Drosophila melanogaster: one gene and its partners. The protein of the gene in region 2 purifies or fractionates together with the protein of the main gene of each other region. This does not show direct contact. Each region holds a gene or a part of one and is shown on either strand. Other genes may lie near its edges. The genes, in order: Axn, Klp64D, Kap3 and arm.

Region 1 (7,397 bases), on a different chromosome or scaffold from region 2:
TCAAACTGAACGAGTGCCCGCGTCCCGAGCTGCGATTATGAATCCGAATCCTCCTCCAGCGTTGACAGCGATGGCAGATTTCACCCTGCCAGCCACGTATGTGCGCCCATGCCGAGCAGCCAGAGTACATAAACCATTTCGGGGTTGCGCTTCCTGGCCAGTCCTCCACTGCCGCATCCTCCGCTTGATCCTCATCATCGTGCGCACCCACCCACAGCCTCTTCCATTCACAATTGTTGCATGCGGACAGCGAGTATGGCGCTTACGTCGTTTATGTACGGAAATCGAACTTAATCGGTGAGCACATCGACACTCAGGGAAAAATCTAGTACTTCAATACCTAACTATTTGGGATTGAGAAAGTGGGTTGTAATCAATTCAACACGATACTGGAATATACAAATTGTAAATATTCTTACTTCACCATTATCAATCAACGATTAGAGCTCTTGAGTTCTATAAGCCAGATTGTATCTATATCGCAACTTGTAAAACTGAAAAACGAACAATGGCTTACTTTTTGGTAAGCTAGTTACGAATGTATACAGCTTAAAAGTTGCTTTATCACTTAAAAATAGTTTATTTACGAGCAATTGAACAATCTGAGACCCTCAAACAAACTTAAGCTTTCTGTACTGGACTGCACTTTGATTCTGAAACTCACTATACATGTTTGTGTTTTAAGAACGAATACAACCATTTCGAGGATTTTTTCTTAGTGGAGGACTACTGCCCCTTGAATATCCCGACCAGCTGTTGATGGACTGCCCTGCGGAGGAGCAGGAGTGCGAGTGGCGGTGCTGGGACGACCTCCAACATGATGATGCTCCATGTACATTGTACAACAGCACACAAAGGATGTTCTTTTCAGAGTGTCCGTGGTTGCGGCGGAGCAAGCGAGACGGCAGCAGGCGAATAGGAGTCATTGTGTGCAACCAATATGCGCAGGTCCAGATTGAGTCCCCAGACCCTGGTCCCCCCATTCTATGCCCTGCTGCCCAAGCCCAGACCAAATCCTGGCCCACTGCCAGAGTGGCAAGGCAAAGGAAGGACCAGACGCCCGCCCGTTCTTATTGTACATAAACAGAGCAGCGGAGTTGGGTTCGCATTGTAGTCCTTCCTGAAAGCCGAGGGGTGGGGCAAGGGTTGAGATGGAAGACCCACCTCCGGAGTCCGATTCCTCCCCTAAACACAAATGTGGAAATTATTTTCGAATAAGTTTGAAAACAATACGAAGGGAGGAGCGACCGGCGGCAGCCTCGTTTGTTTCTAATGAGGTTAAGACCGCCATTGCTCAACCAACCGCCCGATGAACGGCGTCTGATGGCGGTCTAGACTCCACGCCGGCATGGTCTGGCCCGGCAAACTGGGGGAAACACGGGCACTACTCACTGCGGCTGCGAGTATTGCCGAAGGTCAATAGTGGCACTTTGTGCGCGGCAAAAGTTGCCAGCACAGGCGGAAAAGTTCAGCGCGGAAGCGCCTACTTTTCAGGTGCAACGCCCATTACAAGGACACCGAAGGACCCGAAGGATGCACTTGGGCGCGGTCAACTGTTGCTCCTCTCCGAGACAACGGAAACTTATTCAATTCCTTAATCAGAGTGCTGCAGCCCAATAAACAATAGTGAAATCATGGTATCCTTATTGCACTAAGAGGATTTTTCAATTGAGTGAAAAGGTAGTTTCCGAATAATAACCAATTAAAAAGGATTTATTAAAACCCTTCAGGATGTCATGATTATTAGGTTTCGAGAAATGGAAAAGGACCTAAGTATATCAATGTAAATCAGTTTTTCATACTAGTTTATATTTCTGAGATTCTCGCATGCAATCGTAGTTGTCTTAAACTTCAAAACCATTGACAAAGTAAAAATAAGTTGTATACTCACATATGTAATTTGCATAAAAAATTCAACATGAAATCAGGGGAAGATATTGGTATTCCGAATGGTTCCAGTTGTTCCTGAAAGAATAGTGAAATGAAGAAAAGATTAGATCAATTGAAATCATTTTGAAATAAGCTAAGACAATATATAATACTAAAATATTTGTTCGAAAGACTAAGGTTGTAAACATATAGTTAAGAGTTTGGAAAAAAAAAAGATTAGAGCCATTGTTATCCATTTGGTATAAATTTATGTTATATGTTAAAGTTAAAGTTTTATCTGAAGACTAATGTTTCTAGCCTTACCAAGCATTATGGGATAGTTAAAAAAATTATGAACACTTTTACTCTGTTTTAAATATACATATATATAAATAAATGTATATAAAATATGTATATATAATAGGCAAGCTTTATACATAAGGATATTATCAATTATCAATTGGGAGAAAAGAGATTTGGCCATTGGGTATATTTTTGTTCGCCAAGAAAGTAAGTCCAAAACAATGAAAATAATTTTAAGAAAAATCTTTAGTCTCGTGCATCTCATAAATAATCATTCAAACCAAAACATAATACAAATACCATAAATAAATTAAACAAAAAAACTTTTTTATATGCCAGTCATAAATATTGCATCAAAGATAAAATTGGAAGGTATTTTAATAGAGATAAAATTGTATAAATATTATTTTTGGCTCAGCTTAAATAAATTTACATTTCAGAGCCCAAATCGAATTAGTTTTCAACACAGCGAACTTTAAATCAATCAGTAGCAACCACCCAAGTGCCTCCTTTTTTTCAATAAGCCATACATATTGGATTTGTGGGGGAGAAAATATTTCGCGCACGGGTGCATCCAATAAACGCCTAAATAAATCTAAAGAATGCTTTGAATATAAAGGGTGATAGAACACTAACCGATTAAACTCAAGTGAGAAATGGCCAACGCTTGAGAACATATCAATCCATAGCGCTGCAAGTCCTTTAAGATGGTTGAATCTTTTTATGTCCGGTTTGTAGAAATGTTTAACTACACGCTTCACTTAATTACTCTTATTCGCATAAATTCCTATTTACGTAGCTTATATTACAGTTGATGCAGTACATTCAGTACCTGAAAGAAGAGGATGTGTAAATTGTTAAATAGGTAACATTGTATATTATGGATATGAATGCAGGATGATAATATAATTATGTTTTACTGTTTTGTTAATTAATTGATTTGTTAATGAAGTTAAAAGATATATACAGTTTCTATGGGATCCCATTGGCACATACACCTCAGAAATAAATTAAATGTGCTGCAAACTAATTAATTGAGCAATATTTTAGTTGGATGATTAGAATTTGCATGGCGTTCTAAATGACTTTTTCAATGATCAGGTATCATCCTTCGATTTAATGAAATATACATTTCATAAAGTTACTATTATTGCAAAATATATGCTCACATTTCTTACAAAGGATCATTCAAATTACTATTAATATTTGAGATATTAGTTAGACGTGAATAAATTGTCTAATTCCAATCATTTCCCTTGATACAACTAGATCATTAATCAGACTTATGTTGTGCCTTTCTTAAAGTATTAATATTAGTCCTTAAGTAAGTTGTGCAAATCCAATAATCCACAAACTGCGTAAGAAAGTAATAGCATTAGTTATGGATTGTGCATGGGAATTCCAAGAGCAGTACTCACCCTTAGATTCGTGTATCCTCGGCTTCACTCAATTGGGATGGCAGACGACTGATCCTGGCGCAGTCCTGACGGCCCTGGCTCCAATCTTCGATGGCGGTGACGATGGCAATGGCGATGACGAGGTGGGTTTGGACGGGTGTAATTTGATTGTAGCTTTAACGGCTGGACGCTTCGATTTCAATTGCAACTTAGCTTTCAATTTCGATTTCAATTTCAACTTCAATTTCGATATCGACGAGGATGCTTTCATTTTGATTAGTGTGCTCAACGAGAGGGACGCGTGACTAACAATTAATGGAAGGACGATTTGTGGAGTTCAACAAACAAGCAAACGTAAACAAGAGAGTGTGGTTAACAAGGCGCTGGCACGATGACCGGACTAAATGCTAAACAAGGCTGCAGATCCTCTCCTCGCGCACGGATCCCGATCCTCTCCTCTGCTCTCCTCAACTCAAGTGGGCTGGCCCGAGGGCATATCCTATCCTATCCTATCCCGGTGTCTGAGCTGCCTGCTGTAAACAATGGCTGTATGTCTCTTAACTTAATGCTTCGCCAGGAGCAGTCATCCTCGTCCGCTGGCAACTTTGGGCTCTCCGCGGGGAGAAAATCGTGCTGAAGCGCCGCCCTCTAGAGCATTTCGGCGTCTCCGGGCTCCTGCACTGTGAGAAATCTGTGCTCGGTGGCCTTTCCACTCAGTTCTGCACCATTTGTGCACTTTTCCGTCTGCTGCTTCTTTATTTTGTGTATTTTGTTGCTGTTGCCTCCGCTGGTTGTGGGTGCTGCTGCTGTTGCCGTTCGATTTTCATGGACGTATCGCTGCGGGCCGCTGTGCGCCGAGTCTCCGGAACGCGCACACTCTTTTAGGGCTCCGTGGCGCCGCTTATTCAGTGGTAAATAATAGATTTATTGAATGGCAAAACAAAATGTAGTTCGACACAAATGTTAGACGGCGAGACGAACGATTACATGCTAGAGTTGCGTGGTTCGAAATCGAACTGGTTCGATAGCTCGCCTCGGGGATGCCAACTGGATTGCCAACACTGCGAAAGGTGGCAGCTCGACTTGGGGTCACCTTGTGGTTCGCGTCCGCACTTATGTTGCGCTACAAGGCCTACAGGTGGCGCCAGGGATGATAGAAGGGTAGATAGGTTTTCTATTTTCATCGACTGGAAAGGCAGCAGCACTCACAGCTTCAAATTCAAATCTTTTATTGTCGAACAATTCTCGAATTTCGTATTCAGCATGGACAAGCCTCAGTACGCTCGCGTGGTCGAGATCCTTGGACGCACTGGATCCCAAGGGCAGTGCACCCAGGTGCGGGTGGAGTTCCTCGGCGACCAAAGCCGCCAGATTATTCGGAATGTCAAAGGACCTGTTCGCGTGGGCGACATCCTGTCGCTGCTGGAAACTGAACGCGAGGCCAGGAGACTGCGCTGATGTATGAATTACACCTGTTTGATTTCCCAAATCAAGTTAATAAACGATTTTGTTTGTTCAATTTTTAAATCCCAAACTATCGATTTCCTATCGCTAAGCTATCGATTCTTGCCATCGCAGCCCTAACAGCTGTTTGTGTTGATTCCGATTCCGCGAGACACTCGGATACAGATACTCACGCTCAGATACTCAGTTACTCAGCTACTCAGATACTCGTTCGCAGCGGACGGCCGAGCTGAGATACTCGATCGCGAGCTTGTTGTTGCCCCAGCCAGGCGAAAGTGAAAACGGAACGCCCAGATGAACGCCGAATAAATCAAGCGAAGTAGCAACAAATGCGGGAAATGTGAAAATGCGCGCGGCAGTGGGTTGAAGCGAGACGGGTAGAGCTAGAGAGATGCCCGTTTGCCCGCTGTGCGTGTGTGTGTGTGCAGCGGCGGCCGTAGCAGCTGCTGGTATGTGTGTGTACCGCAAGTGCAGGAGCCTGCATTGCAAAAACAAAAGCGAGTGCGAAAAGAACAGCAAACAGGATTAAAAGTGACGGATTCGATTCCCCGGGGAATCCTACCAATTAGTGCAAATTCCGAAATGCACGGAAAAGCGAACGAAAGCTGCGAATTCGTTACACTGCTGCACTTGGACTTTTCGGGGCGCTCTGAAAAATCGATTGACCGCAAGGAAAGTGGCGACCGCGAAATAATGCAGGCATTGGGCTCCTTCGAGGCAGCTGCACTGCGCGAAAAGTCCAGCAAAGGTGAGTGCGGACAGCTAGGGCAATTAAAGCAACAAAAGGCCAAAGATTGTCGTTAAATTCGATCCATAAAAAGTGGGCGAAAAAACAATGCAAAGCGTACGGCGCATTTGCCTGAGTTTTCGTGTTTGTTTGTTTTGGTTTTTTGCCTTCGCTTTCGGCACGTCAATTTTCGCCACTTATTTCGTAACAACTAAACCGAAAATACCTGTTCGTTCCACGCCCCCTGCCACCGCCCACCTCCCACCGCCCCCCGACACACCCAAAAAAAAAGTGCTTGCATTTGCGAATAGAGGTGGTTCCTACACCGGAAGAAATTACTGCCTGCGATTTAATGTTATTATTCTAATTAAAAAGCCTATGCATTATGAATATTTCATTCATAAATAAATCAAAGTCAATGAACTTTTATCTGTTGCTGCAAGCGCTCATTTATTCATAGAAACTAGCTTAAATGGTGAATATTTCATTCGGTTTTCCAACTTCAAAATCACTTTCTAAGTGGTATTCGAAACTCCGCACAGTGTACTGCTATTCCTAGACCTTTCATTGCCTGAATTTCAAAGTCGCGTTCAGTCGTCAGTCAATTGGCCCACTTACAATTTATTAATAAAGGGACCGGGTCATTAATGTTCATTGATTTTCCGCACTTAAGTGCGTCAGATTGACGTTACCAGGAAACATGGTAATTAGTGGCCCCTGGCACAAAGGGGCGTGATTAGCTATTCCGCCGGAGTGAGAGTCCTGAGATCGGGAACTCCACTCTTCCACTGGCTTGGATTCGCAGTCAGTATAGTATCACATCTCATTCGTAATAGCACATTCCAGGGAACTTCGCATGTGACTTGGTTCTGGAATGTCCACTTGTGAATCGAAACTGCTTTCAACTGGCGGCAACGTGACTCCAAAGCAAACTAGTTAGGTTTCGCGGAAAAGCTGTAAAAACTACATACATATTATTTGCAGTGCCTCATTTTCAAATATCGTTTTTGGTTCCTCATGTGAGTAGTTAAGGCTCGGGGGAATTTTTAATGTTTATACAGATACATACTTGTATGTAGCTTATTACTTAGTTTCGACCTTGAACAACATCGCTGATATGAGCTAATTTCATTATTCTCCTCAGAATAAAGTGCGCTTCATATGTGTAAATATGAAAAAGTACATACACAGGCACGTTTATGTTGTATAGAAGTCTCGCACGTTACTCATGGTTGGTGGAATCATCTCTTAACTCTATAAGATGATTACAGCACAGCTCCAAATGGGTCACTGCGATTGCATCCAAAAACGCCCCCAAAAACATCACAGCAAACTTGCTGTGATGTTGCATGATTCTAGTGACTAGTGGCTAGTTGCTATAGTGGGTATTATCTAGTTCTTTCCCGATTCTGCCACACAATTGCGCTTCCTCGAGGCAAAGGCGTTCCACTTGTGAAATTTCGCTGAGCCGCCCGCCGACGAATCTATTTTTACGCCAATTGACGCGAGGCCGCGGATTTGTGATTTCAGAATTGAGATTTCAGACGCGTTCCGCCCACTCGGCAGGCTCTCTCGCCTCCACGCGACGTCCATGTGCTCCTCCACTCCGACCCGCCATGTCCACACATCGCCATTCA
Region 2 (7,225 bases):
GACTCAGGCAAATTCCGCGCCGACAAATAAGAGAAATTCGCAGGGGGTGTGGGGGGTGTCTGGGTTCGAGATGACACTATTCGTTGGATCGCTGCTAAATTCAGCCACTGCGAACACGATTTTAACACGATTTTGCTATATAGTCACACAACGCTCACGTGTTAATTATCCATGAAGGGCTACATTGAAAAGGCGCAGGTTTAGGTGTGTATAACTTTTCCCGGATTACACTCTCAATGCGATTGGTTTGATTGGCGGCGAATGGGAACCAAACACACACACACACACACACACGGCTATTTCGATGCAAAAACTTGTGTCACATCAGATTATCGAAATGTTTGATATGGTTATTGTTGCTATGCGGCGTATTGGAAATATCAACGGCTAGTAACTAATTATACAGCGTGGTCGAGTATATGTAATGTGCTGCTTGAGTGTGTTTTTTATTGGGGAGTTTGTTAGAACGCGAGAACGTGGCGTTTATATATGAAATAAAATTTCTTTTTTGTAATTTAGTTGAGCGTCGGGCAATACTCTCAATTTCTTGCACGCGTTACGTATATATTTTTAGCGTCGGCAATTGCACATCCAAATGAAATTGAACAGATAACAACGAACTGAAAACTCGAGTTCAACACGCAAACACAGATCACAGAGAATTAAAGCGATTTTCCTTCCGTTTCGACTATGCGCAGCGGACAGACTGATATTGTGGGCCTGGGGCCGAAGAGTTTTACGATCGCTCGGTTCGGTCTGTCCGCCGAAAGTGCGAGAGCAACCACTCAACTACACTCGACAACAAAACAGTCATTTATTTTGAATATGGTGTTGAATTTAATATATAGTCTATATGAAATGCTATGTGAATCTTGTTTATTTTATACAGAAATATATACTAAATTAAAATGAACCTGCTATCTGATATTCAAGTTTCTAAAAAAGTCCTAATAAAACCGATAGCTTCATGATTGATCATGATTACTATTTCCTTGTAGCTTGGTGTTTCGGTTATTTGTTTCCACTCAATTGGCTGCCAGTGGAGTGAGTAACTTTACCTTGCTCTCGGTGATTTTTCACTCCGATCTTTTTCTTTCACCTGGCAACGCAATTCTCTTTTTCACTTGGCAGATTGGTTTAATGTGAATATATGTAAATTGAACAGTTATTCGTGACGTCTTACTGCGATACCGCTGTCCGCTGAGTGGAGCTCCGCCCCCCAATTCGCAACTAGCTGCAGCTAAATGGGCAAACAAAACGTGCGGCGATAAGAGCAAACTGATAAAGCGGAAATGCTTTCAGCCAGATTCATTTGGGTAGCCTAAAATCTAAGCTGCGACAGGCGTAGAAATTCGCACAAAGGTAAATAAATAATGGATAAAAGTACAGTTTGCTTTCCTTATCGCAGGCTTACCTGCCCAAACAATCGCATCCCCTGCAGGTGGGATGAGTAATCCGGTATCGAAATAACACCTGAACGGACGGCATTTAAGCGAAACGAACATCAAAAAAAGAAGAAAGGACTATTAAATTATGACATTCTTATTTATCGTTCGACTTAAAGCTTTCACATTCTTGGGTTTATTTTAATTTTAAATTATCAGCAACCCAGATTTTTAAATTCCTTACGATTGACTTTTTTCATTTTGCCTTAGAACCTTTTTTGGCGCTGTGCTTTGTTTGCGTTGTGTCAAGCGATTGGCATCTGGTTCCATAGTGTAGCGGTTATCACGTCTGCTTTACACGCAGAAGGTCTCCGGTTCGATCCCGGATGGAACCAGGAGGAAGTAACTTTTTTTTATTTTTATTTTTTTAAACGCTTACTAAGTGGAGTTTTAGCAAACAAAAGTATATAATATGTTATATATAATTCTTTCGTGTTCATAGTATACACAAAAATCAGTTGTTTTTACTTAAGTATTATTTAGTATTTTGTGGGAATAAAAAACTTGAATTTATGTTTTCTGTCGTAATAAAAATTAATAAACATATAATGAATTTAAAAAAATATATACTTTTGTCAACGTGGTTCCATCCGGGATCGAACCGGAGACCTTCTGCGTGTAAAGCAGACGTGATAACCGCTACACTATGGAACCTGTTATGAGTAGGTCGGCCAAATTTCAGTTTTCTTCAGCAAGCCCGGAAAATTTAAAGCATGCTTTCAAGCTGCTAAAAAATAAAAAGAAATTACGCATAATTCCTTGAAGTAAGAATATAAAATAATTACGTGTGAGTATCATATTTTTATTTAAAAGCCAAGAGCACACAATAGTTATATATTTGTGCCTAATCGGGTAAAATCTTGTTACTACTTAGTTGTAAGTATTATAAAATAAATATAAGTTAGAAAGTAAAATTACAAACACAGTAGTAAATATATTGCACCGTTGTTCAACCTAAAAAGTATGTCCTAAGCAATAAATCAACAAAAACTAAGGTCTAACAAAAAGGAAATTCGCTGAGCAAATGAATCTGAGGCTGTAGAAAATCAAGATTAGCAGGAGCAGAAACCAAAATTGGACGCGCAGACCGCCGAGGACATGCAGCTGGACTAGCAGTCGATTGTCCTTCCAACACTAGCTTCAATATCGCCTGGCAGTCGTCGGTCTGGGCACACCCGAGGTTCGCGGCCTGGCGGATTTGGAGCGCATTGGATTGGACACGCCATCGGTGTTGTAGCTGAGATAGACATGTGAGAGATCGAGGAAATCTGGCTCCTTGCCACTCGTCTTGTGCGCCGAGATGTGTTTCCTCATATTGTTACCCGTGTAGGCCACACACTTCAGCTGCCACTCGCCGATGTCCTCGTTCCAGTGCGTATACTGATTAATCATCGATTGGTACTCCTTGGGCACATAGGAATTTAATACCAGCTCACATAAGGCCAATTCCCTGGATAGGCTCCTGATATTCTCGTATATGCCCTCCTTTTCGCGCTGGTGCTCCTGCTGCTGATCCGCCAGCTCCGATTTCACGCCCATCAGCATCTGCATCACCCGGTGTATCTTCTTGGTAATGCCAGTGCTGGCATCTTGAAGCGTGGAGTAACGCTCCTCAATGTCAATCCTTTCGGTGGCCTTTTGCTGTAGAGTTTGCTTCAGCGCCTCCTCGGACTTTTCATGTTGTTCCAGCTCCGCAATGGATTGCTCTAGCAGCAGCTCTTGCGTCTGGGCTTTCTCCAGCAGATTCTCGCCGCCAACGAGAATTTTACCTTCCAATGAGACTAGTTTATTGCGAAGTGTTTCCTGCTCCGTCTTAGCATGCTCGATTTCCTTCTGATGCTCGTTTTTGCGCTTGGCCAGTTCCTCCTTTTCGGCATCGGTTTTCTCGCGCTTCTTCTTGGGTTTTTTCTCCACAGCCTGGATCGTTGATGATTCCAATTCGATCTCCAGTGGTGCCTCCAGTTCGTCATCTGCTGTATCCTCCTCCTCTTCGGAGCTCGGTGGCTCCTCCTCCAAGCTGTCGCCCTCCTCCAATTGCTTGCGAAGTCGGGCAATCTCCTCCTGAAAGTGACGAAGCAAAGCATCCTTGGGTTCCTCATTGATGTGCATGCGATTTTGGATATTCTTAGCACGACTAGCATAGCGAAGTGTGGATATAGTTTCCATATAATTGCTATCCGCTGGACTAATGGTGGCACACATGACGGTCTTGGAGTTACCACCGAGGGAGTCCTGCAGAAGTCGAGTTAACTTGGAGTTCCGATACGGTATGTGGGTGCTTTTTCCATCCACCAAAGCACTGATCACATTTCCCAGCACCGATAGCGAAAGATTAATCTTGGTGGCCTCTTTAAGTCTCTGTCCACTGGCCTGGGTCTTCGACTGCCTTTCGGAGCCGGCGAGATCCACCAGCTGTAGTTTACCCATCCTTACGTGCTGGACATCACCTTCGCCCAGCTCACTTCTCTCCACAGTAATGGAGAAAATGGCATGGGAGCGGGAGCTCTCCTGGTTCATTTTGGTGGCTCCCACGGCACGATTTTTGTTACCCAAACGCATGATGTTCTCCAGATCATCGGCGTTGTGCACCACATAGCCACTGAGATCCTTAACAAAGACACCGATGTCCGGTCGCTCCTTGACCTCCAGGCTCTTGCCCACATCCTTGCCCAGTAGATCCCGCACCTCTTCGTTATAGATCTCCATGTAGCTGACGCGCACCAGGAACTTCTGATTCTCCTTGGCCTTAGCAATGTGACCAAAGATGTGCGCAAATGCATTCGGAATGATGCCCTTTGTTTGCGGCGAATCCGGATTCCCCGACATGGTATACGTCTTGCCGGTGCCCGTTTGTCCGTAGGCCAAGATGGTGCCATTATAGCCCTCCAGCACCTTGTCCACAATCGGACGAGCGGTGTCCACATAGAGATCCATTTGATTGGAGCCACCATCGAATACATTGTCGAAGTAGTACGTTTTCGGCGGTTCATTGGCGGTGGCATTCGGTTTCATCACCGTAATGGCCCGGTTGATCTTATCCACCGAAATCGCACTTAGCGCTCCCGCGGACAACTCATTTTTGTCCATGGGTCGCGTTCGCACCACCACACGCACATTCTCGATTTCGTCATCGAGTTGGGCCGTTGTTCCCGCATTTGCCTCCTCCTGCGGCATGGCGATCTACGTCCTGGCTTTATTCCTCGTCTAGTGAAAGCTATTAACCACTATTTGCGCTGACCGCACTTAGTGGAAATCAATAAAGGGGGTTTTTTCTCGCATTTGTTTATGCGTTGCTAGGTTTTTTTTGTTGGCGAATCATTAACGGGTGGTCAGCTGTTATCGATAAGTGTGCGAAAAACGGGCGAGAAGGATGCCAGACCAGCGGAAAAATCTATTCATCAGTGAGACAAAATAATTTTATATATTTTTTTTTAAATAATATATATATAAAAACAATTAGCAAAAATAAAAATAAAATTATAATATTGACCTGTGATATAAGCAATCGAAGGTTATTTTGTGAACTGCGATAATTGTACTTATTTTTACTTTTTGAAAATCCTTTTTCAAGGCTTTTAAGAATTTTATAGATATTTCGAAAAGAATTCAATAATAAAAATTAAAATCTTTTTTTGTGATAACAGCGCAGTGAAACATGAAAAATTACATAACAGCAACCAAAAATTTGGCTAAGGCTAAGGCAGCTGTTTTTAGAGCTGTTCTGTCAACTTATCTTATGAAATCATCAAGTGGTTTCTAAAAAATCAAAAAATCCAACTTAATGTCAACAAGTAGTTCCAATTAGATTATGAAGTATTTTGAATCAACAAGTTGGAAAACCGTAAATTCGAAGATATAATAAAGAACATGAAAGAAAAAAAAAACACTAAAAGCAATTAAGGTACACTGTGTAACAAATATTTATTAAAAAAGAAAAAAATAAAAAGTGATATTTTAAATGTATTATTTAAATTATACATACATTAATATCATATTATAAATAAATATCATACAGTAAATAAAAAAATAATAATAAAATAAAATTAAAATATCTGTTTAAAAATACCAAAATATCGCCCCCGCCGATTCCGATTCGCTGGCAAACGAGCGAGTTGCCCACCACCACCTCCGCGAGAGAGCAGCGAAGAAGAGGAAGACGTTGTGGCAGTGGTACTGAAAGATTGATTCGATTGGCGATTGGCTGCCCGCAGAGTTTCCTTAAACGACCAGACGACGCAGAAATTAAAACTCCGGCCACCATGGCAGCGACATTGCGAAGATTCCATGGCTTGAGATTGCTGAAATCCGCGCCAGCACTCAGCCTGCAGCAGGTAAAGATCGTGAACGGCGGATGCAAGTTTTTCAACAGCCACCGCAGCACCTTGAAGGAGTCGTGTGTCCGATGGAGAAAAACATGAAATAATACCGTAAAACATAAAATACAAGGACCAATGGTGCACTCTAGGTGGCACAGTGAGTGGTATCCGCAATTCCAATGGGATTAAATGAACTCGGATACGAACCGAACAATCCAATTATGTAACTCCGTGCAAAAATTCTTACTCTCCTTGGCCGAACATCCAAACTAAATGACATCCGTTCTTTTTGCAGGCGAAGAACCTCTCCTCCGCCGGCAGCTGGGCCAGTGGCAACAAGAAGGTAAGTCAGCTAGTCAGGAATCTCACATATTCCCCCACTTCGCATTTCATAATACCCGATCGGACCTAACCTCAAAACGCGTTTGCTTCTCGGTGACTGTGTGCGGCTGTATGTGCGTGTGTGTGCATCACGAACAGCTGATCGGCGCCTTGGGAGCAATCACCGGCGGAGTGGGCGCCCTTATCTACGCCCTGGAGCAGTCCGTGCAGGCATCTGGCGGCGAGGTGCACTCCCCCGCGCAACTCTGGAACCACAAGGGCCTCTTCGACGCTTTGGACCACCAGAGGTAATCCAAAAAACGGCGGTTAAACTGATCAGTGGTCGGGAACTGGGCATTTCCATCTGTGGTGGAGCTAACTAAGTGCATTTCTAGTGAATTGGTTTAGATTGCTGTCAAATTTCAAAAAGAGTTCTTTAATGATTAGAGAGATTTTGTTTGAAGTATTTTATTTTATCTCAAACTCGCCAATACAAATATCATATTCAATTTAGAAAACGTAGCCAATTTTCCCGGCAAATCTTCTGTAATCTTTAAAAACTGATAACAACTATAGATTAACAACAATACTTTGCTCATAAAAGCTAATCAGAACAGCAACTAGCAGAACATAGAAGATTAATGGATTGTTAAATGGGGATTTTAGTTAAAATTAAAGATATTAAAGAATGTTTTGTAGTATCTGCATATAAGATGGCATTTGCCCACTGACCCTGCTATCCAGTTAGTAACATCATCTCAATTCCTACTTTCAGCGTTCGTCGCGGCTACGAGGTGTACAAGCAGGTGTGCTCCGCCTGCCACTCGATGCAATACATTGCCTACCGCAATCTGGTTGGTGTCACCCACACCGAAGCCGAGGCTAAGGCTGAAGCCGAGCAGATCACGGTGGGTATTCGAATTTTTAGATTTCTAGATCTAAATGTTTCCTAATTGATTTGAATGTCCCCGTTACAGGTCAAGGACGGTCCCGATGATACCGGCAACTACTACACTCGTCCTGGCAAGCTGTCGGACTACTTCCCATCGCCGTATCCCAACGAGGAGGCGGCCCGTGCTGCCAACAACGGTGCTTATCCTCCGGATCTGAGCTACATCGTGTCGGCCCGCAAGGGCGGAGAGG
Region 3 (9,850 bases), on a different chromosome or scaffold from region 2:
TACAAATTGTATCTTTGCACTAGTTTAGCTTAAAATAATAATAATAATATATATTATACTTCTTTTTCATGCACGAATGTTTTAAATAAGCAAATTATCATAAAAATATTTCTCTTATAAAATGTATCCATTGAGAACATATAGAAATGTGTATATACATATATTATATGATTGTAATGCATTTTTTAAGCCCAAGTTCGTCATAAAATATAATCTTGTTTGAGCAACGAATTAGCGTCGTGAAATCATGTACTAAATTCCTAACCAAACAGAAGTCGAATATATGTACATATGTATTTATTAGCCCTCTTGAACTTGGAACTGATATCGAAATCGAGCTAATGCAACGACTTTTCTCCGTGTGCAGCCAGCCCGTGAGCTGCAGAATTCGCTGGCCAATTTAGTTCTAGCCATTAGGGCTTCGCGGCTAATTAGCATGGCCAACCGGTTGGGCATTAGAGAGTTGGAAATGTAGAATAAATAGAAGCACGCCAACACAGGCCAGTTCAAGTATATATTTGAGTATATATACATACATATATGTATATTTATAAGCCGAGTAAAAGTTGGCCGAGTCGATCACCTGCCGTTCGACTTGGCTTTTCATTTTCAGTATCGGTGCAATGGTCGAGGGTGTAATGTTCTTCAGGGGTCAGTGTAGTCAGTGCAGCCCAACTTGGCTATATTCCAACTATATATACTATCTAGATGAATATAATTCAAATATATTACTATCTGGTACACATATCAATCCTTTTTTTTAGATCGATAACAGCAGTTTTTACAACTGAAATCTAAGAACTCAAGTAATTGCTTTAGTTTCAAAAACTTTTTCGAGCTAGAAACACATGTAGATTATGCTTATCGTATTAATTTACTTAATTTGCAGAAAACGATCAATTATTGCTGAGCACTTTTTTTAATGCCCATAATTTCGATGATTCAACACATATTCACGGTTTGTCAAAATGTTAATTTCAGCGTTTTGGGAAACAGCTGCATCATAAGTTCCCTTAAAAACAGTGAAAACTAAGTTTATTGGACTATATTACGTTTTCTGTTTGCCTTATAGAGTGTCCACTGTATTCCCGTGCTTTGTTTTATCTAGCTTTTTTTGTTGGCAACACTGGCTGCCCAACTCTCTCCCACTCTACGCCCCTTCCTTACAACGCCATCTCTTTTTATGTTCCCTTTTAATTACAGGTGCAGAGCGGGACGGAAGACGCCGGCCAAAGGGGGAAGGGGTGCGTGGTAAGGGTGAGTGGGGGAAACTTGGCTCCAAAAGTGCGCGATCAGCATGAGAGAGTTCATTAACAGTTGCAATTGAGCCCGCGAAGCACACTGTAATTGTTGTAATTCCAATTTCCCACCCAACTTATACGCAGCTTTCCAACATTTCCATTTCGCTTACCTGTGCAGCTTGTAGATGAATAGCACCAGGAACGAAATGTAGATGAGGGCCACGAAGACCAGCGGCAGCAGAAAGGTGACAATCAGGGGGGTGAGGAAGCGATATAGCCATAGCGAATAGTCCAGATCGATGTAGGAGGCTAGAATCACAAGGTATGCAGTTGGTGGAGGGGCATTTGTTATGTATGTATGTATGTACATAGGTCAGCGGTGCGCCTTATCGGGCGCCAAATATTCGATATTACTCACACAACAGGGAGTGCAGCGTTTTGTACAGGTTCTCCAGAAATTCCATTGTCAGGCGCTGCTCCACCTCATTTGTTGTTCTTGCGCGAAAAGAGAAGCGACCGCCCACCACAACAAAAACACAAAAAAAAACGGTAGAAAAAAGAAGGGAAAATACGACAGAACAAAAAAAAAAAAAAAAAAAACAAATCGGTTTGGCCTGATTTTGTACACTTTCTTCGGCTCGCTTTGCGCTTTTCGAATTCTTTTCGCTTCCTCCTGCTTGGCGATTCTTTTAAATGGTCATCGTATAGTGCGTTTCATTTGAATCAGTATTTAGTATTTGCGCGGCTTGAAATGCATTTTATTTGCATGTTATTTGCTATTGTTATTGTTATTGTCAGTCGAGACTGTTTGCTGGTTTGTTTGTTGTGATTTTCCTAGCACAATGTAAACAATTCGCGGCGCTGCGCTCCACTCGGCTCACACGCAGTAGAGACAACCGACACCGTTCGCAGTCAGAAACATTGTGATCGCGCCGCGCTTTTTTTTGGTTAATAATACTACAAAGTAGCGATTCTTTTATTGTTGTTCCTTCATTCCATTTCGTTTGCTTTTCTGTTGCTCATCTACGTTCTTTGCACCTGGCAACGCCGGCCCAGCTGTTCTGGCTGCAGTCGTTGCCAGACTTTGGTTCTTGGCACCCAGAACAGAACAGTGATGCTCTCTTGGCTAATCACACCTGTTTCTAGCCGGTCAAGGAAGTTCGAGGAAAAACAAAGTTGTTAGTATACTGCATATTATGAATGGCAAGTTCCCAATTAGAATACAACCGCCAACTTGAATTTGAACATTCGCTTATTGGTTTGTATCGATTGAGTGCTATCGGTAATTGCCGGGTGCCGTGGCACCATCGATAGTACCGCCAGTGAGCAGACAGTTGTGCCAGCACTAGCACTTATCGACATTAAATCGGAAGTCGCATTGCAATCGCATGCAATTTGTTTTGTTATTAATTTTCCAAATAATCTCGGGCCTGGTGCTGCTGCCAATTGTGATTCACTACGTCTATTACATAATAAATGCGATTGCCGGCGATCTGTGCGAGCAGAAGAGAGCGCAAAGAGAGCAGCAGCTGCAAAGGAGCCCCACTCCGCGCCACCAAAACCGCCACCCCCCGCATCCGCCACCCACCGAAGAGGAGCCTGTGCTTTCCATAAACAATTTGACAAATTCTAGTCGCTCTCCGACAGCAGCAGCAACAACAACTGCAATGCAAACAAACGATGACGCCAAGTTTATAAAAAAGTGCGTATGTATGGGATTAGATCGTGCGTGCGTGCGTGTGTGTGTTTGTTTGTTTTCATGTGTGGGTGTACAAGTGGCCGAAGAACAAAAGAAATAGCTAAAGCACTCGTCATGCGTCAGAAAGAGAGCCACAATCACCTGGCGCTCTCTATTGATTTTCCACTTTGCGTTCACGCTTCCTCCTTTTGTTTTTTGTTATTTGCAACCGTTAATCGTTATTCGTTATTCGTTGGGTTCTTAACTTTTTTGTTCGTTTTATTAAAACAAAAGCACAAGTTAAGCCAGGCTCAAAAAAAGAATTGGATTGAAAAATCTATTACCTCATTACGCATTGAACCGCATAATTTATGATTGATCCAACAATTTGTCTCGCTCTCAATCCAAAACAAATGCAACGACAACAACAAACAAACAAACAACGAAGGAGGTGGAAAGGCGGATCCATTGAACCGCATCCCACGGATAAGGCGCTGATTGTCAACTACCAACTGGAGGCCACCGTCTTCGGGGAGCCCAACAATCCGATGATCGAGGAAAAGAAGGTAAGAACGCACGGTTACACATCGCTGCACTGGGAGAAAATGCTAGTAGATATTAGAAAATTAAAATAGGACCAGCATTATTGGTATCAAAGATGTTGATAGGGAAAGAATATAATAACAACAATATGCGAACATCTGTAACTTAGTTCTTAACTATGTTAGGTTCATAAAAAAAAAGGAAACAAAGTTGATCCTTAATCGAATAGGTTGAAAAATTGATCTAGATGTGTACACATACATATATTGCTTATTAGTTTAAATACTAGCAGTCATTGTTCTACAAAAACATCCGAATGAGTACTTAAAAAAGCTACTTCTGTTTCTTCCGGTGTGCCCCGAAAAGGGTTAAGGGGCGGGGGGCAGAAGCTGACATTGAGCGGCCCAATCGATAGCGCAACAACAACGGGGTCGATGACGGCCTGCGCTCCAAGTAGTGAGTGAAAAATGTAAAACCACAGCAACAAAAAAAAAAAGATACCCAAAAGCGGTTGGTTGGCCGGGTCTTTAACCTCAATTCACGTTTTTTGGCCGAGCGACAAGCTTATTTTTCGCCGATTGTTCACGACCATAAATATGTACTACATAAGTAAGTCTCTTATGTTTTGCTCTTGGCCATAAATATTGGCGACCAAAAAAGTTTTCAGCTTAGATGCGAAGTGGTTAATTGCCCTGAAGTGGTCCTAAACTAGTTCCTCAATCCTAATAATTACTCTATGTTTATAAATAGCAAAATAACAGCAAAAACAATTAGCCTAATAGTACATTATTTCAGTCGTTAACTAATGCATGTATTGTATTTAATCGCCCAGCACTGTCAAAAAATCATACGACTCCGTTCGCTGAACGCCAAAACGGATCCGGCTGCCTTGGCACGAGAAGTGGTGGAGAAGTGCGATCTCATCCACAAGTCCCAGCTTAATGACGTCGAGCAGATAATCTTTTATCTGAAGAATCGCAAGGATAATGCAAGCAATGGTAAGCAGTTAGATTGTTAGCAGAAATCCATACTAACACTCAGTACCCATTAGATATACCGGATAACAACACTCACAGCCGGCGATCGGCGGCGCTGCACACTTCGCACACCCGCTCCTCTGCTCGATCGCACAGCAGTGTGGCGGCCATGACCAGCAGCACCGGCAGCGGCGGAGGATCCACTGGAGCTAGCAATGGTGTCTCGAATGCCCTGAGTGCCGCCACGCCCACGGCGGATGTGTCCATAAACAATATCGATGAGTATGTGGAGCTGCTGTACGAGGAGCTGGGCGAACGCATTCGAGGCTCGGCCATGATCCTACAGATGGCGCGAAATCCCGATAATCTTGAAGAGCTGGAAAAGAATGGTAAGGATAAGTTTGCAGTTCTGTAGTTTTGAACCCAAACCCAATGTACTATTTCATCATTTTAGAAGCCTGCCTCAGCGCCTTGTCACGTGTTCTGCGCGAGGACTGGCGCAAATCCCTGGATCTCTCCACCAACATAATCTACATATTCTTCTGCTTTTCCACATACACCAAGTTTCATCCGCTCATTGTGCAATATAAGGTGGGAATAGAGTTTCTTAATTAAGTTCTAAGCACTCATTTAATCGTTGTTAATCTATTTCAGATTGGATCGCTGTGCATGGATGTGATTGACTATGAGCTGCGTCGCTACGAGACAATGAGAAATGAGCTGGACGTGCGCAAACAGCCCAATGGATCATCCACTCCACATTCGGCAAAGGCCAGCAAGGAGAAGCTGAACCGCAGCACCGACGATTTCCTGGACATCATGAACGAGGAGAAGCCCAAGGAGGTAATTTTATTTCTATAAGTTCTTGAAAAACATATCTATCGAATACTCAACAAATTCACTTTCAGATGGAGCCGCCGCGTCGTCGCATTCCGGAGCTAAAACAGCGTCCCAAGTCGGGCAATTGGAGCAGCTTTCACGGCTCCATGTCATCGTCGCTGATCAAGAGTCAGATCCTGAATAGCAGCTATCACGAGTCCCTTTGCGCCGGCGGTTCACCTGGCGGCGATACTCCGGCTGTGCCCGCTGAACAGAAGGCCCAAAGCAACGAGTCGCTGGACAGGAATGATCCCAAAGTGAAGAAGGAGGAGATCGATCGGCTGAACAAGCAGCTTAAGATCTTTGCCAAAAAGCAGGAGCAACTGTTGCGCGTGGCCTTCTACCTGCTGCTGAACATGGCCGAGAATGTTAAGCTGGAGGAGAAGATGCGCCGCAAGCATATCGTTAAGATGTTGGTCAAGGCGCTGGATAGGCAGAATATCGATCTACTCATGCTCGTCAGCACGTTCCTCAAGAAGCTATCGATTGTGGGCGACAACAAGGACGAGATGGGCGCTTTGAACATTGTGGCCAAGTTGCCACGATTGTTCCAGAGCACGCACACGGATCTGGTGCAGGTCACCTTGAAGCTGGTCTTCAATCTCTCCTTCGACGGCGGACTGCGTCGCAAGATGATCGCCGCCGGCTATCTGCCCATGCTGGTGATGTTCATCAACGATGAGAAGCATCACGGCATTGCTGTGAAAATACTGTACCACATGAGCTTGGATGACAAAGTGAAGGGCATGTTCACGCAAACGGAGTGCGTGCAAATGGCCACGGATGCCATAATCCTAAACCTCAATGTTAAAGTCGATTTGGATCTCATTGCCTTGTGCATTAATCTCTCGCTAAATCGCCGTAATGCCCAGATTATGGTGGAGGGCCAAAGATTGCATAGCCTAATGGATCGGGCCTTCAAGTACCAGGATGCCTTGCTGATGAAGCTGCTGCGCAACTTGTCGCAGCACGAGTCCCTGCAGCTGCAGTTCATCGACTATGTGGGAGATCTGGCGCGCATTTTGACCATCTGCGATGACGAGGCCTTCATAGTCGAGTGCCTCGGCATTTTGGGTAACCTGGCCCTCACCGATTTGGATTACTCGCAGATCTTGCAGAACTTCCAACTGATTCCATGGATTAGACAGATACTGCTGCCGTGCGCCAGAATGGACGACCTTGTGCTGGACACCATTGTTTACTTGGGCACCTGTGCCTGCGACGAGTTGTGTGCCCTGCTCTTCTGCCGCGCCAAAGTGGTTATATCCCTGATCGAGTTGCTTAAAGCGAAGCAGGAGGATGACGAGATTGTGCTGCAGATCATCTTTGTGTTTCAGCAAATCCTGCGACACGAAAGCACCAGGGAGTACATGATCAAAGAGACGGAATCGGCGGCCTATCTCATCGATCTGATGCACGACAAGAACGAGGAGATCCGCAAGGTGTGCGACTATTGCTTGGACATTATTGCCATAAGCGACAGCGAGTGGGCCAAGCGCATCAAGGTGAGTTGCTTGCCAGTCCAAATATGGCATATCTTAGTACAAACTTGTTTGTGTTTTCTTGTTCTCGTTGTTACATGGCAGCTGGAGAAGTTCCGCAACCACAATTCGCAGTGGCTGTGCATGGTGGAGTCGCAGCAGGACCAGGACAATGAGCAGGACTACGCCGATCAGGAGGACGAGTGCGACAATGATCTGGACACGTATCTGCGCTCCGAGTACTTGGACAATTGCGATCTCTACAACGACAATGCCGACAATGACAGCAATAGCAACAGCAACCATAGCAACAACAATCCGGCCAGCCCGGCCATGTCCACCTACAGCAGGCCACTGAGCACGTGAGTTTTGACCAAGTTTCCACTTCGATTCGAGTAATTAAGTGATAAATCACATGGTACAGCTATCGCCGCAGCCAGGATCTCGATGATTTGTACAACATGACCTCCAGTTCCAAGTCGCAGGGCTCCAGCGACAACAACTACATATTCAAGTCGAACAAATCCCTGGATGCCGATGGTCTGCACGAGGAGCTGCTGATGGCTTAAATGAGGAGAAAGGTCCTAACCCGAATCGATTGAATTTGAATTAAGATGCTTCTGCCGATTGCCCGCCCTCCCGTGTACATGTTTAGTCACTCTGCCTATTAACGACCTTCTGCTTGGATTTATTGGATATTTATATATATATATATATGTATACATATATACGACACCTTTCACGCTTGTTAGTCAAAGACGTTAAATGATTTTAGCGACGCGGCAACTTTGTACTCAAGACATTCAAAATGAGCAACGGCGCACAGACACTGGTTAGTTTAAGTTTGGTTACTTACTTATTGGTATGGTATTTTTTTGTTTGTTATTTATTAATATTTAATTTATTGAGGTCTTGTTTAAGTGCGATGTATGGCTTAGCTTCCACTTTGGTTGTTCGCAACGCAATTACTGTGCAATAATCTCTCACTTAAAGTATTACGTCGAACGTTTTTAGTTGTACTTGTTTTAGTTTACCGAACCTAAACTTTTCGTTTTCTCGAATATCTTACGAACAAAAGTCAAATTGTAATATTAAACAGTGGGCGACAAATGAAACGCCGACATAATGAAACGCCGAAGAATATAAACAAAGCTAATGTAAATGTTCACCTAGTTCGTATTGTTTTCTTTGGTTTTGTTGGCTGTTCAAAAAAAAAAAAAAAAAAGGGGTGAGTACTTTTCCCATTCCGCAGAGCTGTTTGTCTCGCCATTAAAATGCAACAATTTGAAATAATATTGGCTTTTAATTTTGTGTTACACAATAAGGAATATTAAGTTGCAGTTCGTTTCCGAAACATACTTATGACAGTGGCTAGACCGATCCGATAAACATGCATATATCTAGGTATGTATGTATGGTACGTGTATATATAAATAGAAGAATATGCTCTCTAGTTCACTTTATATATATATATATATATATATATATATATCGTGGATATCCGTAAGGCGAGGCCTTCTAGCGTTCAATGTTAAGCTTAACCTAGATATCTCCACTTCAGCTTCAGCATCGGCATCTCCCACTGATTGGTGTTCCGTTTCCACTTCGATTTGACTTGGATCGCTTCGCACATCTGCCGCAGTTTTTGCACTTAGACTATGGTTTTAACAAATTTTTACACAAATATCAGACACAGACATACATATACATATATAAATATGGAAAATATCGACTGGAGGAGAGAGTGGGATGGGAGATTGGTGTAATGCCTACAACAAAGCGATAAAGAAATCTACAGATACATCCGCCTAAGCCCTTAACAAATATCGCTAGTCTAGATAGTCCATGGTCTTGATGAACTTGACCACGGATCCGAAGAGCGTCCAATAGAACTCGTCCTCGCCCTCCAGCTTTTTGCCCAGAAAGCAGCTGATATACTCCACGGTGGATAGCAGATACGGGGGATTGGCCTGCGCATACGTCGAAAATGATTAGTTAATTACTAGCAACCGCCGAATGGTTCACCATTAATGACTCACCATTATCACTACGTATATGAGCACGGGCAGCAGATCATCGGCTGCGGGCACCCGACCACTGGACATGCGCAGCAGGCTCATGATGCTCGAGATGCAGCTAAAGTTTTGTGCGATACGATAGTTTGTATGTTAGGCAATGATATACCAAAGGGAAACTTCACACATGACTCACTTGATGATGCACTGCAGCTTCTCGCGTGGCGTCTTGTAGGCGGCCATGTGGCACAGCTGTTGCTGGGCAAACGTCCACGGAGCCTCGCCCAAATACTCCTGGGCGATGCACAGCGCCGGGTGGGCGGGATGTACAAAGCGCTGCAGTTTACCAATATGCGCCGAGAGCACCTCGTCCCGCGACACATCGGCATCCTCGTTGGGGAACATCACCTGCTCGTACATCTGCTCCAGCAGCATTCGCTCGATGGCCACGCGTGCAGCATCCACCTGCCACTCGTCCTGTAGATCGGCACTGGAGCGCAGCTCCTGCAGCAGGGACTCCACAAATTCCTCGGTGAGCTCGACGCGTTCGTCGCTGGCCCGCAGCTGGGCGAACTCCGCTTGAAACTGCTCCAGCTTCTCCTGCTGACGGGACCAAGCCAGATACATCCGGACCAGTGCTTGCAGCAGACATCTCTGGCTGCTGCGCGCCTCGCCACGCAATCGCGCCTCCAGCTGCTCCAATTGCTCCGATCGCAGCAGGAGCTGTTGCCTGTGTCGCATCAGGTACTGCAGGTAGCTTTGTCGTCGCTCCAGATCCCGCTGCAGTTCGGCCAGAAGCTGGCCATGCTGTGGTCGCTCCAATTGGGCCAAACAGCGCAGGGCCTCGGCCACGTGCGAGATCTGTGGTAATCGCTGCAGGCTGATGCACTGCGCCAACTGAATCTGCAGGTAGATCTGTAGCGGTGTGGCCATCGTTGTCGATGTGGTCGAGGTTTGGCGGAAATCGCCACTGTGCAAATCCGTCCGGGAAAGCACCGTGCGCAGCTTCTGCTTCACACAGCCAAAGACCACGCCA
Region 4 (7,316 bases), on a different chromosome or scaffold from region 2:
AAACTTTAATCATTGAAAGTTTTACAATAGTTTACAAAATTGTTCACTACTGCTAATAATATCTTCTCCTGCCTTCCAGTTCATCCGCTAACACGGAAGTTCTACGCCCAGTATGAGCAACGCCAGCCGACGGATACCTTGAGGTACCTACGGCACACTTGGCCTGAGAAGCATGTGGAGCGTCAGAGGCAGCTCGGAAAAGCTGTTCCGCTCCTGGAGTCGCAGGTGTACGGCTGGTTGCCGCTCAAAAGTGGAGAGCGAGCCGCCGATCTGAACTTTCTGCATGCCAAGAAGGTGCGCTGCGGCATGACTGTTCACGGGGAGCGCTTGGTGGCGGAGAGGATTACGGCGCGTCCTCCGTTTAACGGACTCAGATTCCTGCTTCACTAATCCTACGGCGAAGAAATGTCGCACGCTGACCGCCATTATAAATTTATAATTTTTTTTTTAACATAGTGTTAATTTTTTTTTTGTAAACAAATTAATTATGATTAAAAAGCAAAACTAAGCCACGCTAGATCATTATTAAGAAACGCATCTTGTCTAATTCAAATTTAGTAAAAAAAAAGGTGGCAGCTCTCCCTCGATGATTTAGTTTCAGGGCTACGACGTCGATTATTTTTTGTTTATTTATATTGTTTTCATTTACTGTTGCTTCAAGCAGGCGAATGAACCTGGAACAGACTCCTCCTGTAATGCGCACAGCAACCGCCTGAGATTCTCGCAGTAGCCACGCAACATGGTGGGTACGGGTGTGAGTGAAGTGGGTGTTCCGGCATCTTCGGAAGAATCCGTAGATTTCGGCTGGAATCGGCATCGCAAGTCAAAGGTCGCGTTTCACGGACTCAGTGGCAGCCGGCATCTAATCACTTGGGTTCTTTGACTCACATAATATTCATAACTGATTTGATTTGATCGACTCTGCAGGCTCACTCGAACAAGGCTCGCAAAGCAGCCAAAGAGGCAAACGCCAAGAAGTCTGCGGGATCGGGAACAGAGAGCAAACCGGAGCACGTAAAGATACATGGCCCAGGCGATCGTAGTGCAGGAGTTCTGACTGGCGACCAGTTCCTGGAGAGCTTGCTCCAGACTCTCTACAGGTCATGTATGTCCACTAGTTGAAGTACTATCTGTAAAAGCGCTTAATTGCTTACTGCCACAATTAGTTACTTATATATGTACTACTCTGTACGGTTGTTAACCTGTTTTATGCATCACACCGCGTAACAAAAGTTGCCTTTGTTATAACGTTGCCATATTGCAGGGCTTCAAATCTGCCGCCTGGCAGATTTTGTGATGTCCGAGCTAGGTGGAAATGATTTCCTGGAGGCCACCGCGGCCTGGTGCACCCGGAATCCGCACGTTGCTATCTGCCTGCTAGCTGGTGGTCTTGTATTCATGCTGCCCTTCCTTATAATATTTGGGTTTGGAATAGCCACCATGGTTATGACCTTTACAGGTTTGCTGGTGCTAGAAGGTGCGTTCCGTAGTGTTTACCAGAGATCACGTTCTTATCGACTCGTTTTAGGCACACTCCTGACCATTGTGTCCATGGTGTTCTTCGCCTGCCTGGGAGGACTAGTCATAATGGTACCTCTCTTCGGTGTCGCCGCTGTTGCTGCCTATTTCGGATTTGCCCAGGTGTATGGCCTATGTGATGGAATAGAGATCCATAAGAGCGCGTGGGTCATGTTCTTTAGGGATCAACGGAAGGCCGGCGATCCGCCGCCAGCTGCTGTGACCATAACCGATGAACCCACTTCTACGACTGCATAAACCAATATTGCTTGCCCAACTTAAATATGTATTAAGAAATTAAAGACCAGTGTTTGAATACTTTTGGAAATTTAAAAAGTGCGCTTTCTATTTTGAAGCAAGTTGGCAGCCACCTGCGATAGAGGAGTTATCGGTTATCTGTTCTGCGCTCATATACACAGTTTTCATAGTCGGGGATTTTTGTCGAATTTAAATATCTAAGTGCGTCAAAAGTGCGTTAACCTGCCTTTGAGCAGATAAATTTACTTTCGAAGCGGTAAGTAATAGTAAAGTCATAGATATTTCTTTAATTCGTCGCCCAAAAACAATAGTTTTTGGTCGTACCTGTGTTGTCATACACCCTCATGTACACTCAGGTGCTTGTGTTGGTAAATGTTTATACAAGATAAACGGTGAGTTCGAGATAACATGATAACATGAACTAGAAATAAATTCGCCTTAGCTAAATTATAAATATTGTGAATTGAGTTTCTTAAGGATGAAATGCTATACAAATTTCGTGAGATTTTTGTGTTCTCAGAACAAAAAAAATTTGAAAAATTCCTTTGGCCTATCGCACAGGGCCCATCGAGTTATCGGGACAGCAGCAGGCCATCGCTAGTTGGGTTTCGTCGCCATATACACAGTTTTTCTCGAGCAGACAATTCGCTGTTATTTTGTTTCTTATAGCGTTTTAAATAAATAAATCCTGCTCTAAAGCAGACTTAAATTCCTTGGACGCGGTGAGTACTGTTAGTCGGTAGTGAATCCGTTTGGAAAGCCAAAGTTTCTGTGTGCCATGAAAGTTGGAAAGCCATGGCAAACAAGTCGGCGCGGGGGTGGGCAGGGGTTCGCTGGATGTGCGCCTGTGTATGTGTGTGTGTATGATCTGGATACACACAAACGGCATTTTTATGTATTCCTCCCCCGTAAATCGGGCGCTTGTTTTGTTGCTCGCTGGAATGTAAACAATGCCACAGACAGGAAATCGTTTTCTTCGAATCTAGAGGCAGGCTTATCGTTAGGTGTTTTATCTAATCGACAACTGAAATGGAGTTGGGATTCTTTCTGAGCTGCCTACGCGAGTATGTGTGTGTAGGCACAATCGTTTGGATGTGTGGCAACTCTGCGCAGCACTGCATTTGTATGCTGCACTGCCGCGGCCCTTTACTTTCTCTCCCAGTCTCTTTCCCTGTCCCTTTCCCGCACTCCGCACGCGCGGTGTTGCAAGTGCCTTGCTTTGCTTGCGCTCTCCGCATCTGGATTCTGTTCCGTTTAAACGAGCGTGCTGGTCGGTCGCATTTTCCGCTGCGCCTTTTTCGAGAGAAGTGAAAAATCCATTTTGTTTTTTGTTGGAGTGCATGAGATTTGAAAGAGTGCTAAACAAAGTAATTAAATAACTCAAGGTTCGTGGCCAAAGTCTTCGGCAGGTAGACACACACATACCCACAAATACCCGTTCTACCTGCGTAAGAATGTATTAGTGCGTTTGTTTGTATACGCAGCATATTTCATATTATGCTTCGGCATCTCAAAGCGGAAATGAGTTAAAAAAAAAGACCAACGACTAGAATAAGTGACTAACGGACGATATCTGCGTCTGTTGGCAGTCTGCAAACACAACAAGCCCTTCTTTCCGGGGCCCCCATTTAGTGGAGTTCCGTGGTCTCCATCCGAAGCACACACGAACTCCATGTTATTGACTGTCCAGCACATTACTCATATACTCTCCGTCTCTTTCTTGCAGGTGTGGTGTAAAGCGCCTCAATCACCAAGATGAGTTACATGCCAGCCCAGAATCGAACCAGTAAGTATTTCCAGCAGCGGTACTCTTCCCTTTCCCATCTTCCAGGGAGTATGCAAAGAGCATCAAAGTTAACTGTGTATCAGAGTGTTCCACTTTGGGCTTTTGTATACCCAGTCCAAATGCAGTTGTATACAGGATCCGATTTCATCAAATTAGAGATGATATTGCGTTTCAATGGACGCAATTAAGTCATGGTAGCTCTAGAGTTTAGAACATTTAGGATAAATAGTCAGAATACATGGCCCTATGAAGGGGATGCAACAGCGCATTGTATCTGTGAAACAATTATCCCCGTATCGCAATACAATAACAACCCCTCTCCAACGTTAAATGAGGGAGCGATGCTTGTTTTTGACAAATTTGGCAAATTTGACATAAAGTATTTGCTTTTGTCATTTGTTTCTGATATTCCCTTTGTGGGTTGTCTGCAGAATACAGGGTAACAACTATATCCATCCACCCCAGACAAATAATTTGTGTACATCTACATACTTGTAATGCTTGATGATCTTTTTTTTGTTGGGCCATCAACCACCAGCGGCCTGTGCTTATATCCGATTCATCAAAAAAAAAAGCGCTCCCTTCTACTTCGGAGTTTGAAATTTACACTTTTCCGCTGACGCAGTAAACGGAGTAGGAAAGAAGATTTCTTTTTGACACTTGATTTGCAGAGCGCGTTGGTGAGGCTCTCAGAGGCGCAGGAGAGGACTTCACCAAAGGGGAGGAGCTCGTTAATGCATGTTGGCTTCATTGAACTCCCATCACTTTTGCCACAGAAAGTCGAGGAATGTCAATATCTAGGACGACAGTAGTGAACAGTTCATAGCCATTTAGGAAGTGGCCTTTTAATTCGACCACTATTAAGTATTTAGTTTAGTTTTCAACTAATTGCTGTACAACCCCGAAACCCCCTTGAGTAGGCCGCTGCTCACTATCCTTTGAAACTCCATTCCCTCCCCATGCTATCCACTTACGCACACACACATTCAAGGACTCGTGTACTTGCACGTGGCACTCCAACCCACGCCACCCTTTTGCCATCGCTCCTTGGTCTTCTCCGGGGACCTTGTTCTCGTACCCCGTCTCCCGAACTCGCAGTCGAGTTGGCTGCACATTTTTCTTGGCTTCTGCCTTTGCTTTTTTCTGGCGCTGCTGCTGTGCAGAATTTAATTAGTAAGCGGCAACATGCAATTAAAGGCTCCGCCCGCGCCCTCCATCCCAACACAGTACTCCATTCAAGTGCGTGGCCCACTCGACGGATATGGCGAAGAAAAAACGCTTAATCGATTTGGGAAATGAAACGAAAAGCGATTACAGTATTACAGTCGCATGTGCTTATAGCGAACAAAATTCATCAGCTGTGGGCTAAACCATTTTGTTGAACTCAGAGACCACATTTGGAGACCTGGTCCATAGGTTACCAGCATGTTTCAATGCTGCTTTTTATGGAGTCATTTATATTCAGCACCGTGTTCGATCTATTGAGATTTGACTGTAGTATTGCAGAGTGGATGGCGAAGAGCAGTGAAGTTTGTAATTACGAATGCATACAGAAGGGGCGTGGCCGTGCTGTGTCCGCGCATAAGTAAAACAACAAAGGCAAAAAGCTGGGCCTGGAACGGCATAATTAAGACTGAAGTGGCAAACAAAACGCCCACAAATCCTTTTGCCAGTACCCTCTCATGTGTGAGCATCTGACCCCCTGCACCAAACCCATTCCGCCCAGCGCCCTGAACTTTCTGGGAATATCCTGCAGCGTTCAATTTGTCACGCTTCAAAGTTTTCCTTTTGCATTTTTTGCGCCGGCTGTTGGGATGCTGCTCACTTTGCTGTCAGTCGCTGTCGTTTCCCATTTGGCCATCTTTTAACGAAAGCGCATGCAAATGGGTTGCAGAGGGTTAAAGCGTGTGCATCCCCGCACCCGAATTCGTTGCATTATATGTAGATGGTGGGCTGCACTCAGTATTCCGTTCTACTCTGTCGTTTTTCCACTTCAAAAGGTTTTAAAAAAGAAAAGTTACCATGAATGTGTAGACAGATGTTAACAAGTTAAAGAAGAGCATACAAAAATTATTCTTACACTTCATTTCTGCTTCTTTGGGGTCTTATAACACGATTAAGTTGCAATGGAAATGATCGAAACACATCGGTGATTCGAGTTAGAAAAGTTGGAGTGTATATTTTTGTCAATTCACTCTAAAACGTTTTGCAATCAATCTTTTGCAGTGTCGCATAATAATCAATACAATCCACCTGATCTGCCGCCGATGGTATCCGCCAAGGAGCAGACCCTCATGTGGCAGCAGAATTCGTACTTGGGCGACTCCGGCATCCACTCGGGTGCCGTGACCCAGGTTCCATCGCTGTCTGGCAAGGAGGACGAGGAGATGGAGGGAGATCCACTTATGTTCGACCTGGACACCGGTTTCCCGCAGAATTTCACACAAGACCAAGTGGACGATATGAACCAGCAACTGAGCCAGACACGCTCCCAACGTGTACGTGCTGCCATGTTTCCGGAAACCCTGGAGGAGGGCATTGAGATTCCCTCCACCCAGTTTGATCCCCAACAGCCGACGGCAGTGCAACGTCTTTCGGAACCGTCACAAATGCTAAAGCACGCGGTGGTCAATCTGATCAACTACCAGGACGACGCTGAGCTGGCAACCAGGGCCATACCCGAGTTGATCAAGCTGCTGAACGATGAGGATCAGGTGGTAGTTTCCCAGGCCGCCATGATGGTCCACCAGCTGTCTAAGAAGGAGGCCTCGCGACATGCCATTATGAACAGCCCTCAGATGGTAGCCGCTTTGGTGCGTGCCATCTCTAACAGCAACGATCTGGAGAGCACCAAGGCAGCGGTAGGAACACTGCACAACTTATCACACCATCGCCAGGGTCTGCTGGCCATCTTCAAGAGTGGCGGCATCCCGGCACTCGTCAAGTTGCTCTCCTCGCCAGTGGAGAGTGTGCTGTTCTATGCAATTACCACTCTGCACAATTTGCTGCTCCACCAGGATGGCTCTAAGATGGCTGTGCGCCTGGCCGGCGGGCTTCAGAAGATGGTTACTCTGCTGCAACGAAACAACGTTAAGTTTCTGGCTATCGTCACAGATTGCTTGCAAATTCTGGCCTATGGTAACCAGGAGAGCAAGTTAATAATTCTTGCCTCCGGAGGGCCCAACGAACTCGTGCGCATTATGCGCTCCTACGACTACGAGAAGCTTCTGTGGACCACTTCGCGGGTACTGAAAGTGCTCTCCGTTTGCTCCAGCAACAAGCCGGCCATCGTGGATGCCGGTGGAATGCAGGCGCTGGCTATGCACTTGGGTAACATGTCACCGCGCCTTGTGCAAAACTGTTTGTGGACGCTCCGCAATCTTTCGGATGCAGCCACTAAGGTGGAGGGCCTTGAAGCTTTGCTCCAATCTCTCGTCCAGGTTCTGGGCTCGACCGATGTCAACGTGGTCACCTGTGCCGCCGGTATCCTTTCAAATCTGACGTGCAACAATCAGCGCAACAAGGCCACCGTTTGTCAGGTGGGCGGTGTGGACGCCCTCGTCCGTACTATTATCAATGCTGGAGATCGCGAAGAGATTACCGAGCCGGCTGTATGTGCCCTGCGTCACTTGACCTCGCGTCATGTGGACTCTGAGTTGGCCCAGAATGCCGTACGCTTAAACTACGGACTATCGGTGATTGTAAAGCTATTGCATCCACCATCACGCTGGCCCTTGATCAAGGCCGTCATTGG

The links.
Region 1: the proteins of Klp64D (region 2) and Axn purify together in Drosophila melanogaster (affinity purification with western blotting, with the first as the bait; one study listed by BioGRID). This does not show direct contact.
Region 3: the proteins of Klp64D (region 2) and Kap3 purify together in Drosophila melanogaster (affinity purification with western blotting; 5 studies listed by BioGRID, with this or other methods). This does not show direct contact.
Region 4: the proteins of Klp64D (region 2) and arm purify together in Drosophila melanogaster (affinity purification with western blotting; one study listed by BioGRID). This does not show direct contact.

What each region holds. Positions count from the first base shown.
Region 1 is NT_033777.3:30,020,034-30,027,430, reverse strand, and holds the start of Axn (axin), read right to left. Parts: upstream 4,590-7,397; 5' UTR 3,591-4,589; intron 3,005-3,590; 5' UTR 2,809-3,004; intron 1,966-2,808; 5' UTR 1,892-1,965; intron 1,214-1,891; exon of another isoform or gene 559-1,213; intron 71-558; exon of another isoform or gene 1-70. Other genes in the region: RpS28a (ribosomal protein S28a), read left to right, coding at 4,833-5,027.
Region 2 is NT_037436.4:5,354,636-5,361,860, forward strand, and holds Klp64D (Kinesin-like protein at 64D), read right to left. Parts: upstream 4,758-7,225; 5' UTR 4,620-4,757; coding exon 2,586-4,619; 3' UTR 2,229-2,585; downstream 1-2,228. Other genes in the region: Cyt-c1 (cytochrome c1), read left to right, coding at 5,705-5,776, 6,057-6,104, 6,242-6,390, 6,858-6,990, 7,060-7,225.
Region 3 is NC_004354.4:11,332,307-11,342,156, reverse strand, and holds Kap3 (kinesin associated protein 3), read left to right. Parts: upstream 1-2,568; 5' UTR 2,569-2,629; coding exon 2,630-2,943; intron 2,944-3,332; coding exon of another isoform or gene 3,333-3,367; coding exon 3,368-3,485; intron 3,486-4,294; coding exon 4,295-4,460; intron 4,461-4,513; coding exon 4,514-4,828; intron 4,829-4,893; coding exon 4,894-5,030; intron 5,031-5,093; coding exon 5,094-5,282; intron 5,283-5,347; coding exon 5,348-6,823; intron 6,824-6,904; coding exon 6,905-7,161; intron 7,162-7,223; coding exon 7,224-7,368; 3' UTR 7,369-7,970; downstream 7,971-9,850. Other genes in the region: CG34348 (uncharacterized protein), read right to left, coding at 1,412-1,550, 1,660-1,705; Gapvd1 (GTPase activating protein and VPS9 domains 1), read right to left, coding at 8,629-8,769, 8,839-8,935, 9,011-9,850.
Region 4 is NC_004354.4:1,895,226-1,902,541, reverse strand, and holds the start of arm (armadillo), read left to right. Parts: upstream 1-1,895; 5' UTR 1,896-2,032; intron 2,033-2,368; exon of another isoform or gene 2,369-2,498; intron 2,499-2,931; exon of another isoform or gene 2,932-3,238; intron 3,239-3,502; 5' UTR 3,503-3,531; coding exon 3,532-3,562; intron 3,563-5,788; coding exon 5,789-7,316. Other genes in the region: CG32801 (uncharacterized protein), read left to right, coding at 80-390; Ldaf1 (lipid droplet assembly factor 1), read left to right, coding at 740-829, 928-1,105, 1,265-1,477, 1,529-1,776. UniProt on the Drosophila melanogaster protein: Isoform neural may associate with CadN and participate in the transmission of developmental information. Can associate with alpha-catenin.